2 linked regions of the Caenorhabditis elegans genome follow. The protein of the gene in region 2 purifies or fractionates together with the protein of the main gene of each other region. This does not show direct contact. Each region holds a gene or a part of one and is shown on either strand. Other genes may lie near its edges. The genes, in order: ilcr-2 and actl-1.

Evidence for each region.
Region 1: the proteins of actl-1 (region 2) and ilcr-2 purify together in Caenorhabditis elegans (affinity purification with western blotting, with the first as the bait; one study listed by BioGRID). This does not show direct contact.

Annotation. Positions count from the first base shown.
Region 1 is NC_003280.10:5,473,358-5,479,308, reverse strand, and holds ilcr-2 (Interleukin cytokine receptor-related protein 2), read right to left. Parts: upstream 4,064-5,951; 5' UTR 4,058-4,063; coding exon of another isoform or gene 4,019-4,057; 5' UTR 3,901-4,018; coding exon 3,624-3,900; intron 3,576-3,623; coding exon 3,491-3,575; intron 3,433-3,490; coding exon 3,306-3,432; intron 3,008-3,305; coding exon 2,122-3,007; intron 2,070-2,121; coding exon 1,894-2,069; intron 1,846-1,893; coding exon 1,734-1,845; intron 1,682-1,733; coding exon 1,500-1,681; intron 1,454-1,499; coding exon 1,298-1,453; intron 1,254-1,297; coding exon 1,098-1,253; 3' UTR 783-1,097; downstream 1-782. Other genes in the region: Putative zinc finger protein F56D1.1, read right to left, coding at 1-8, 55-155, 200-330, 379-446, 493-689; mrps-16 (Small ribosomal subunit protein bS16m), read right to left, coding at 4,019-4,057, 4,288-4,418, 4,567-4,693, 4,755-4,901; clr-1 (Receptor-type tyrosine-protein phosphatase), read right to left, coding at 5,924-5,951.
Region 2 is NC_003284.9:6,496,239-6,501,976, reverse strand, and holds actl-1 (ACT1-like protein), read left to right. Parts: upstream 1-2,140; coding exon 2,141-2,212; intron 2,213-2,474; coding exon 2,475-2,572; intron 2,573-2,622; coding exon 2,623-2,743; intron 2,744-2,788; coding exon 2,789-2,945; intron 2,946-3,029; coding exon 3,030-3,131; intron 3,132-3,185; coding exon 3,186-3,376; intron 3,377-3,874; coding exon 3,875-4,039; intron 4,040-4,722; coding exon 4,723-4,899; 3' UTR 4,900-5,174; downstream 5,175-5,738. Other genes in the region: cdf-1 (Cation diffusion facilitator family protein 1), read left to right, coding at 1-492, 572-713, 1,224-1,527, 1,578-1,682. UniProt on the Caenorhabditis elegans protein: May act as an adapter to facilitate downstream signaling for the receptor complex composed of ilcr-1 and ilcr-2, which is a signaling complex that modulates neuronal activity and animal behavior in response to sensory neuron input.

The sequences.
Region 1 (5,951 bases), on a different chromosome or scaffold from region 2:
TGTGAGCTCTGAAATTGTATTAAAATGTATTTTTTATTAATCGATGAAACCCACTTGAGCCGATTTTTTGCTACTTTGATACAACAGCCAGTAATTGTACACGGAATACCATCAACATGGTTTTGTTCGAAGTGACGGCGAATGAATGCTGGTTTCTGAAATTCCAATATCAGAAGATGAACAACTCGATAATTCACACCTCATTAGTGTACGAGCACTGTGGACACTTATGAGAAGCCTTCGAATGATGTAGTTTGTGATGTGCTCTCAATTCACCATATGTGCCAAATTTGGTAATTGTCGAGCATTCAAGGCATTGGTAACGATTAGCTGAAAAAATAATTATCTAAATTACTAAATAAGAATGCTGAAACATACAATCATGAATTTTTATATGTTCTCTCAGCTTGTTGGGATATCGAAACTTTTTCTCACAGAACGGACATCTGTAAAAATGTTCGCATTTCATTTATATAAAAATATTCCACATACGGATGGAACTCGTCTTTCGTTTTTCCTCTTTTTCGTTTTCTGCTCGCAATTTCTTCTTTTTCAACTTCTTCAACTTCTTCAATGCATACTTTCGAATTGCTTCTCTCACTGTTGCCATCTTCTTCTCGGTATTCATCATCAGAGTCTTCATCAGAAGACGATGACGATGAAGATGGTGGTTCAAACGAAGATATCATCTGAATTTTGGATTTTGGATAACAGTAAAAATAATTTTTCATAGATAGACTAGGTTATAAGACCTGTTTTAATTAGAGAAAAATAAAGAAAACAATTAAGGAAATGTTAAACATTTATAGATAGCGTAATTTTTAAATCCTAGAACAAATTATCAAATATATAAAAATCAAATAATGAGTGAAAAATGACATGGAAATTATAAATTCTGAACTATGAGAAGCCAGCGTGCCTCCGCTATGTTGGAGTTCTGGAAAACGTAGCTTCAGAACAATAAGACATCTCATTGAGGGACACGCTGACTAAATAAACATGAAAAAGCATCGCACAGAAAAATCGAAATAATATACCATAATTAACCACGTATCACACCGTAACAAGCAATAAGCAAATAAAAATAACAAGTCTCTTCATGACTTCTTCACAACAATCGTCTTCGGATCTTCACCCTCATTGTCGGATTCAGATTCGGATTCCGAACTGGAGTCAGATTCCGAGTCAGAATCAGAGTCAGGGCCGCACTGTTCAGGTGGTAGGAGAATGAGTGGCTGGTTCTGATGAGAAGCCTAAAAATTATATTTCTAGCTGAGAACATTTTGAATGAACATACGTGTGGCTGGAGATCAACATCATCTTCGTCATCACTGTCCACGAGTGCTTGCGGGGGCACCAGGTTATACTTTATAGAAGCAGCAATGCGATCCTCTTCAGTTTGGATTGGAACAATGACGGGAGACTGACGTTTGAGGTGAAGCGCTGCGAGCTCCTGAAAATGAAGTTTTATAAATTAATCATAAAATTAAAACCCTCACGTCTTTCGGTTTCCATCTCGTTTCGAGCCAATTCGGATTTCGAACGAAGAATGACATCATACGACTAGCACAAAGGTTCCACTCATGAATCTGAGCTTCTGATATGTTTTGAGTGACGTTGGCTCTTTCTGTGTGCTCTACATTGTGCAGGAATGCAGTGAGTTGCGCGAATTGTTCAGGTACTGTAATTTCAGAATTAGAAAGATTACATTTTAAATTTTAAAATAAACTAACAAATGAAGGTGGGAAGGTTAAGAATCGCTAAGTTTGGTGGAACATGTGGAGAATAGTTGAATCTGACAACGGCGTATTTCTTACGAGCTTCCGGAAAATTGTGTGTTGCGTCCTAAAATGTTTTTTCTTGATTTTAAGAAAATCCGAGTCAATTGCCTACACGAATGATCATTTCCATAGCTGGCCCGAACAAATCAGCAAATGGTCGAGCTTGAACAAGCTGATGAGTCTCAGAAGCTTCCGTGTCGAGAATCTTTTCAGCGCAATCAGAAACCACAATTATAAATTTCTTTAGAGAGCTGATTTGATCCACTAGCCAGCGGGATGGAACGATTTCTGAAATTAGTATGAAAAGTTGAAAAATACTATATATTTTTTAAAAACTTACGTTCTGCGGTTATAAGCTTCTCCAAATCAAAAACTGGATCACAGGATGCACAGTTTCTGAGATTTTCGACAAGTTTCTTCACACAGTCGGTATGCAAATCATTGTCATCCGCATAAACTATCATAACCTTCACAAATTCAGTCAATGCTATATTTCGAACTTCTCGAGATCGAACTTTGTCTCTCCATAGTACATAACCAAATCCAGTTACAGCCAGAACGATGATCAGTATCAAAAGTACAACGACAGCGATGAAAATCTCGAAACCATAATCTTTGAACTTTTGCAATGCGAGCCAAGACAGTGAAGCTCTATTTTTGTAGATAACCAGGTTCAGATGAGTACGAAGACATTGCCGACATCCTCGTTCTTTCTTCTCGCAATAAAATTTGCATCCACGAATAGGAACGTATGCCGTCAGAAGGTATCTCCCTGCTTTCTGATTTTCCCATTTAACGGCGGTTTCTGGGCACTTCACAGTCAAAATTTCCAGAAATGTCACTTTTTGAGAATCATCATCGTGTTCCTTGTAGACATTAACAACCATAGTTTCGCATTCTGCCCTCTCCGCTTTTCCCAATCTAACCCAAATCGCATTCTTATCACTGAAATCAGCAGACAGCATCGGTGCCCAGAACGGATCCGTTTTCGTTATAATTGACTGATTGGTAGTTGGATCCACAAGAATCTCTGGGAACATGTCATCGAAGTATGGAGCAGTCATAATCGTTGAGACTCTACATTTTTGCGGTAGAATAGTTGCATTGATTGCGTAGACAGAAAATGAAGTGAGTCGGAAACAGGAATACGAGAATCTGGTGGGATATTGAACTCTCGACGAAAGATGAATTCCGCGACACGGCCATTCTTTGACTCCGTTGATGTACTGAAAATTTGAATTTTTACTGTATTACCCAGACGCGAAGTTTAGCGTAAATAATACGTTACAGGGTCTTGACACGACAAATTTTCGTTGAATGCGAAAAGGTTTGCGTCATTAAAGAGTGATGTAAGTTTAAAGATTTTTCTTTTTTATAGAGAAACGTTTTTTAAAACTACAGTACTCTTTAAAGGCGCACACCTTTTCGTAATCAACAAACATTTATCGTGTCGAGACCTGGTACCGTATCCCCGGCGTATTAACGTTCAAAATTTCGCGTCTTTTAGTTGTTAAATCTAGTTACCATGGCTTTCGAATTGGAACAATATACATCTGAACCATCTGAAGCTGACAAGCATTCAAGACGGAATGCAATGGTATCGACGGAAGAATGAGCAGTGACGGAAATATTCAGGTTGGCATATGGATAACTGAAAAAATTAACTAATTAAATTAAAAAATTTCCACAGTTTCTGACTGATTTCCAACCTTATCTGGGACTTTGGTACGTAGACTGGTTTGAGTTCCAGATCAATAAGACCAGGAGGACATGTTGGCAGCTTTTCAGGAAGATCTGAAAATCGGAAAATTAATTATCTTTCTGGTTCGGGAAAAAATGTACCATTTTTCTTGAGCCGTTCTGAGCATTCCTTAGTCGTGGAGTACGTGATAAAAGGATCGGATTTCTTATCATCAGCTCTCACATAGACGAATGAATCTTTGTAGCATTGATCGGAATGCTCAAAAACATTCCGAAGGACGTAATCAGAAGCATTGGTGTATGATGCTGCTGCGGACGATTTGACAGAAGATAGTGAACAGAGATAGAAGTATAGGAGTAATAAGGGACTGCCCGTTGCGCGATAAGCAAGAAAATTGGTAGTGCAAAGGCGGACCATTTTATGTCATTAATTAAAGTGCGGTTTTGAAGAAAGAAAATGAAAACAAGCAACTTAACAACAAAAAAGATAGAAGAAAATATAAATTCTAAGAGATTCTAGAAAGAGAAAAGTGAGATTACTGTGGGTGAGATGTCGCAGCGGCACCAGTTGACGCCTGAAAATTGATGTAAAAAGATTTAGCTCGTTATTTGCGGTAAAAGAATATCTGATTGTAAACATGTGAAGAATTTGAACCTAATTTGTTGACTTTTCACCTCTTGAGGCGAGGCGACAAGGTGAAAACGATATGTTTGTACACGGGAAAACTTTTAGAAAATCTCTATTTTTTTTAATGTTGCTGCGGTAAAAATCAGAGATTATCGAAGAAAAATTAGTTTTAATTACCTGCTCTTGTGCGACTTTCTCAGCTTCCGCGGCTTCTGCAGCTACCTTCAGTTGTTGATCGGCAATCAACGCCCTGTTGTCCTTGGCTCGAATGAACGATTTCGGGTGAATTGGGAAGAGTCCCGACAGGCCTGAAATGAATAAAAAATTAATTTGATCATCAAAACTACGAAAACAGTTGATATTTTCAGTAGATCAAAAATTAATTCAAGAATTTTTCCCGCAATTTTTTTCCAAGTGTATTTTCCAAAAAATAATTATCACAGTTTCTCCGCTCACCGAGAAGTTCAAGCACTGGAACGGAAATATGAGCGTTCCGTTCACCAATCCAATATTTGAGGCGTCCAAAATTCAGAGCCACTAGCTTCTCGTTCTTCTGATTTGGAAGTGGATCAAAAGTTCCCACCTGTAAAAATTAATTTTATTATAAATCATTCAAGCAATTTTTTCATTCAAGCAATTCTCACCTGTTCAAGAATGTTACCCTCGTATCTTCGACCTAAAGCCCGATCAGGAAATACACAAACGTGATAGAACGGTCGGTTTGTGCAACCAAAAAGAGCCAAACCGATCGAAGGACGTCCGTAATATTTTGGAATTACTAATTTTCGCATTTCCAGCACCAAATTTCGCTCATAGAAGGAGCAATCTGCAAAAAACAGAATTGAGCTCGTACGAGAGGCAGAATGTACTACGATCGTTATGAACGGCTGCAAATTAAGAATAAAATTTTTTTTCGAATAGAATTATTTCAAAACTCAAAAAACTATTTACACAATGTTTATAAAAAGTTTAGAAATTGTGGAGAGAAAAACTTTTTTAAATGTCGTGAAGTGCAGTGTCAAGTACGCAATGTTGTCCGTCGGTGTTTGCGGACACAAGAGTAATTTCGCGCGAAATTTAATTTTGATTTCTTCTGGTGTATTTTTTGTACAATCCTTCATTTCCTCGTTTGATTTGCGTACGAAACAAGAAAAGTTGAAAATAATTGACAAATATTGCACTTAAAATTTATAGAAAAATGTAATATTTTTTTGTTTTTTGGTACATTAAAAGAGATAGTTATGATAAACAAAACTGATTTAATTTCCAAAATTAAGGAAATTTTATTTCAAATTTTTCCGACTGCGCCAACAAGAATTCGTAAAAATCTGCATGTCAAGTTTCTTGAAATCTAAACTGATCTTAATATTATTTAGGAAAATATAAAACATCATCAAAATTCATAATAAATTCATTTAGATATCATATATATTTACACATAATAATTCAAAAAGGCAACAATATGGCTTTCGAGCAAATATCTGAAAAAAAAATCATCTGAAGTCATTGAGAAGGATCCGAAAGTTGCATACTCGTTTCTGTGTGTCGGTGGTGTTGGTTGAGGCGGGGAGTGTAGAATAGACTATTGACTAGTATTAGAGATTGGGTAATAAATAGAATTCATGAGGAAACAAACGAAAAAAAACATAACTGAGTAAAACTTTGTAATGAGAGGGAAATATGGAAGAGAGCACAACATTGACCCGTTTTTTGTATGCTTGTTGAATTTTTTGTGCCCAGAAAACAGCTAAAACGGGGAAGGCAACAACTATATTATGTGACTAGAGAGATAAATGGAAAAATATAACAACAGCTACCTATATGTCTTAGAGATATAGTCA
Region 2 (5,738 bases):
AAGTACTTGTCATCGGATTCATCGGATTGCTAATCAACTTATTCGGTATGTTCAACTTGAGTGGTCACGGTCACAGTCATGGAGGCGGAAGTCATGGTCACAGTCACGGAGGAAGTCATGGTCACAGTCACAATAACAAGAAGACTAAGAAAAATGATGGGCATGGTCACAGTCATGCAAATGGCCATGGACACTCTCATGATGGGAAAAGTGATTGCAATGGTGAAGAAGAGCCGGATCACACTAGATTGAATGGAAAATTTCGAAGTGCTTCTGCGATGGCAAACTCCGACGCCAATGTGCGACTACTGGATAATGATGACAACTCCAATGACATTATTGAACGTCGTCTTTCTGGAGTTAATAGTCAGAATACCATCATCGCGACGGTCGATCGTCAAATGACACCATATGGAACACACATGGCCAGTGAAGTTCTCAATGTGTCTTCTAACAATCTCGATAAAAGTGCTCAAAAGACAGAACAGAAAAGTGAGTTTTTTTTTTGAGAAAACTCTAGTTTTCATTCGAAAATGTTTTAAATCAAAATAGTGTAGCGAAATGTTTGTAGAAGACAAAAATGTGAACATTCACGGAGTTTGGCTTCATTTATTGTCGGATGCCTTCGGATCTGTGATCGTCATGATTTCTGCCGGATTTGTATACTTTTTGCCAACATGGAAAATTGCCGCTTATTTGGATCCAATTTTAAGGTAATATTTATAAAATTTGGCCGAAAAGCTTCAAAACAAACCAATCTTAAAATCACTTATAATCATATAGTGCTGAAACCACCAAAAATCATTTAAAAAATGTCAACTTTTATTTTGGAAAACTGCGAGTCGGAAAACAGTGAAAACTCTTTTTGTCAATTTTTTCTAAAGTCGAGGATCAAAAACAATTTTTTTCAGTTTTTATACCACGATTCGGTTGTTATCCATTTTCCAGCATTACAGGGGCTCGAACTTTGATTTGGATTTCTCGGAAAGTGGCTCAAGATCAGTTTTCCTAACTTTTTGACTCGCAAGAAAAACATTTAAAAGAAAAACATTCAATGTTTTTAGAAAAGATTTATGTTATTATTAGTAATTATGAAACCACATAATAGTTTTTTTTTTAAATTTAGTCTTCTCTGGCTGTACTCCACCATTCAGTATTTTAAAATTGTATTTTTGTATAAAATTGTATTGTATAATATTTTAAAAAGGACCGTTAATTTTCAGTATTTCCCTGGCCTCCATCATGGGTTTCACTGCAGTGGTTCTTGTCAAAACATCGGGAGAAAAGCTGCTCAAGCAAACCCCAGAAGGGCTCGACCTCGAAAAGGTGAAAAAAGATTTGTGCAGCATTGTTGGTGTATCCAAAGTGGAAAAGCTGTCTGTGTGGACGTTGTGTGGGCAACGAATCATTGCTGCCGCCCACGTGAACATATGTCACCCAGCAGTTTTTCCTGAAGCTGCTTATAAAATTAAAAATTATTTCCACGACTTGGGAGTACACTCAACGACTATTGAACCCACCTTTGAGGTAAGCTTTTATTTATCTTGTGCGAAATCGAAAATAAAAAAAAAATTCAGGATACCTGCATGCAGTCGATGAGAATAATGGTTAAAAAAGTTGTTGATGGCAAAAGCATCGAGGAGCCAGTCAGTGTGTCAACTGAAAATGAAATCACCGAATAATCGTTCAAACAACTATTTTATTTTTGATTAAAAAATTTTGAACTTCGCGGGCCGAAAATACCAACATTAAAATGTACTTTTTCTTCTCCTTGAAACTATGTTTTTGCATTTGATCGTTTTAGCATCTCAACATCTACTCACCTTTCTTAGTTTCCTTCATTAACCGTATAATTTTTTCCACAATCTGGTCAAAAACTCGTCAAACTATTTAATTTATACGTGTCAATCCATTTCCCCACCCCCATTTACTGAAGTGTCCTTACTTTGTGTCTACCAATTTTCACTTACGCCTACTTGTTTTGTTACCCTTCAGTAAGAATTTCTCTAAATTTCTAGAGTGATAAAAAATAATAAATGAAATATCCATTTTAAGTAAAAACTAGTTTGAACATCCAATGGTTAATGCCAAATTGTCTACTATATTTATAAATAATTATACATACAGTAATAAGCGAAAAATGACTAAGATGAAAATGGACGTAACAATTGAGTTGGATCTTGATGGCGATGATTGGGAGGAGGTTGATGTGGTAAGTTGGTAGTTCAAAAGATTTTTGTGTAAAAAAGAAACTGATTGAATATATTTGAAGTGTACTATCAAGTTGCTCGAAATGCGACTTAAAGTTGTAATGTTCCGAATTACTGTTTTTGTCGGCACATTGATATTTGAGTCAGTTTTAAGCAATTTTTCAAAACATTTGATCGAAGTGACAGTATTAAAAAATGTTTCTTATACTCCTGTTCAAATTTCCAAATAAAATGTTAACAAAATATACATCTTGAAAATTTCAGTTATCCGACAAATGCGTTGAAGATATTCTAGAAGACGTTCACATAGATGATCCAATTTTAGTATCTGATGTTCGAATTACCCTACCTGCAAACATTCGGTATGTCATTCTATTCTATAAAAAACGTCAAGTAAAAAAATCGATTACAGAATCAAAAACTTCAAGAAAGAAATACGAGATTTGATTTTAGCAAATCTAGATGTCCCAACAACGGTTTCGGCCGGATCATGGCAGATTGTTTCAAGTTTCTTGCGCGGCATTGAATACTCGGTAACTTTCAAAAATAGTTTCAACGTTTATAAAGTTTGTTTTCAGGAGATAGGAGGAAGGGAACGAAATAGCAAGCTATCGTGGAAGCCATTTGAAGATATGCACGCTCAAATACTTGTAAATGCTCTAGCATATGCTCAACGAGTCGATATTTTAGTGAAGCTTAAATCGTATATAGATTCCAACAGTTATCTGAAAAATGGTGAGTTATCATTTTCATGTAACAATTTTTTAAATTTGACTGATATTATTAAAACTAATTCATACATGCACATTGTAATTACAGTTCCCGAACCAATGTTTGCATTTGCTGACACGGACTCCATGGCAAGTACAACTACATTTTCAGAATATGCGGAGCCTGTACATTCGATGAATGCTAGGAAAAGCAAGTTTTAATTGAAGTTTTAGTAATTGGAACCTAATACATTTATTGTTTCAGAAATATTATTGTTGCACTATGAAACTACGTCCAAAGAAAAGGAAGATTTCAAATGGTTTAAATGCAATTTGAAAAATGTTTTAGAAAAAGAACGCAAGGAGGGAAAAGACTTGGAAGTTTTTGATGTGAAGGTGTGGGAGAAGGATGATCGGGGAAACGTGTTTCAGGAGCTGGAAAAGCATTATGATCTAGTGAGTTGGCAATAAGTCTAGTCATTTCGGGGGCATGTTATCAAATTATTATCAAAAAATAACAATTGCACAGGCCACGTGGCTTTTGTTTTTTTATTATATTTCTTTTTTATTTAGGCTCCTCCCATGTTTGACTTTTAGTTCAATTTTTAAATTCTCTCCGAAAATAAAATTGTGGGAGGAGCGTAAATAAAGATGAAATAAAAAACAAAAGCCACGTGGCCTGTGCGATTCATATTTTTTGATAATAGTTTCAATTTTTCAAATGTATTTCATTGTGTAACATTTCGGAAACAACTTTTTGGTTTTTTGAAAGATTTGAACATTATAGACTTTAAAGCCCTGTAAGTCTAATACTGTTCTGGTGTTTTTTTTTTACGGATTTAGTTTTCATTTTTCCAGAAATCGTGGGCAATGTTTTTTTTTATTATTATTCAACTTTTTCTAAGTTGTTTGTGATTGTAAATTACTGATTACAAAATTTTTTGCATTTTCCAGTTTCCGCATATTGTTGTGTGCTTCAATAAATCTTACATAGAAGCCACAAAACCGAACAGCAAAAGCAAAATGCCTCAGTTCCGAAAATCAATCAGTGATAAGTTGAATGTAGAATTCCACATGAATGGCAATCGCAATTTACGAGGCAGATGTGTACTTATGTCGGTGAGTTTGGTATTTTGAAAGAGGAGTAATTTCTGGTATCCAGAAGGTTTTAGGTTAAATGTTAGGTTAAAGGTTAATTTTTTTAAAACTGATGCAGTGAAAATCTTTGATTCAAAATTATATCTCGATGTTGAGGCAATTATTTTCATTTTCAAAGATGGAGTAGCAAAATTGGGGACATTGCTCATTAAAGTTAAGACCAAATGTACCCAATTTTGTGATGAGGTTCTGAAGTTTTCTCAAAAACAGGTTATGGCGGTTCAAACTATTGAAAAAATATTGTATTTTCATCTAAAATCGCAATTCTGTATACTCGACAAAACCACAACTTGCAAAAGTAAAATTTCATGTGAGCCTAATTCATTACGTTGGCGAAATTTGAGATTTCAGCTGAAAATAGGGTTTTTTTTCCAAAACTGAACTACCGTTATTTTTTATGAGAAGTTTTAGAGTTTTCTCATTACGAACGTCGGAATTTTGTGATCATTTTTGGTCTGATAAAATAAAGACTCAAATATAGCTGCTCCACCTTCTACAAAATTTTTTGATTAATTTGTCTTAACATCACATTTAAAAACTTCGTTTTTAATTAAAGATTGCAGTATCTTTCTGAAAATACATGGCTGGACATCTAACTCTCTGGCTTCCAAAAATGTTTACACTGTGTGAAATGTGTATTATAGGAAGTGGAAAAAGTAACGGACACGTACTGGGCAGCTGTAACGAATCAATATCCATTCCCCGGAAGTTTTGAACCATTTGTGAAGCGTCTTCTGAGAGATGGAAAAGTGAAGAAACAATCACACAATAATGCAAATGATCATCACGAGGATTCCATGAACTACAGTATTACACAATAAACACCATGTGGTATTTTGAGCCAATAATCTATACATTGTAGCATCTGATGAACTTTTTTTTCATTGTACACTTTTTTGATGACAGTCACGTGTTTTTTTAGATTTCTCAGACAGTCTTTACTATCCACATTTTTTCATATTACAAAAACAGTATTTTTCTTTCAATTTTCTCAGTTAATCTATTAAGATGTTGTTTCCGACTTTCAATTTCCAGATTTTATTATACACTAATGAAATAAATCTTACAGAAGGTTCTATCTTTGAACACTATGAATTCATAATTGTGAAGCACTTTTATCCTAGACAACTTTTCCCCACTCTTCTCACATCTTTTTATAGGTTTCAGTTTCTCAATTGAAGCTGACACATCTGCCGCGCTTTTAATTAAATTAGCGGAAACTAATATTCAGAACAAATTTGAAGAAGAGATTGAGACAAAATCTGAGTGGTAATAATTGAGAGTAACAACTATGGGGATGTTTTCATAAACCCCTTGGCAAACTCAGTCGCTCAGATGGAAATCCTATGCTTTCAATACTTTTCACCCTTTTTTCGCTAACCGGGAACATCGGTTCATAATCAAAATTTCAATTACAAGTTGTTGAAAATTTTGAATTTTGAGAAATAAGTTTGATGCAAAATTGTTTCACGAAATTAATTGTTTCACTTTTCCCATTGGCAATATTCCATCTTAACATTTTAATTTTTGTGAGTTCATTGGACGCTTTTACAATTATTTTCCCCGAAATACGTGCCAATGAGGTTTCGAGAGAAAGGTTTCCTAGTTGACAATTTTTATTTTCTCCTTTTTCAAACAGTGGATTAGCAATCGACTGGCA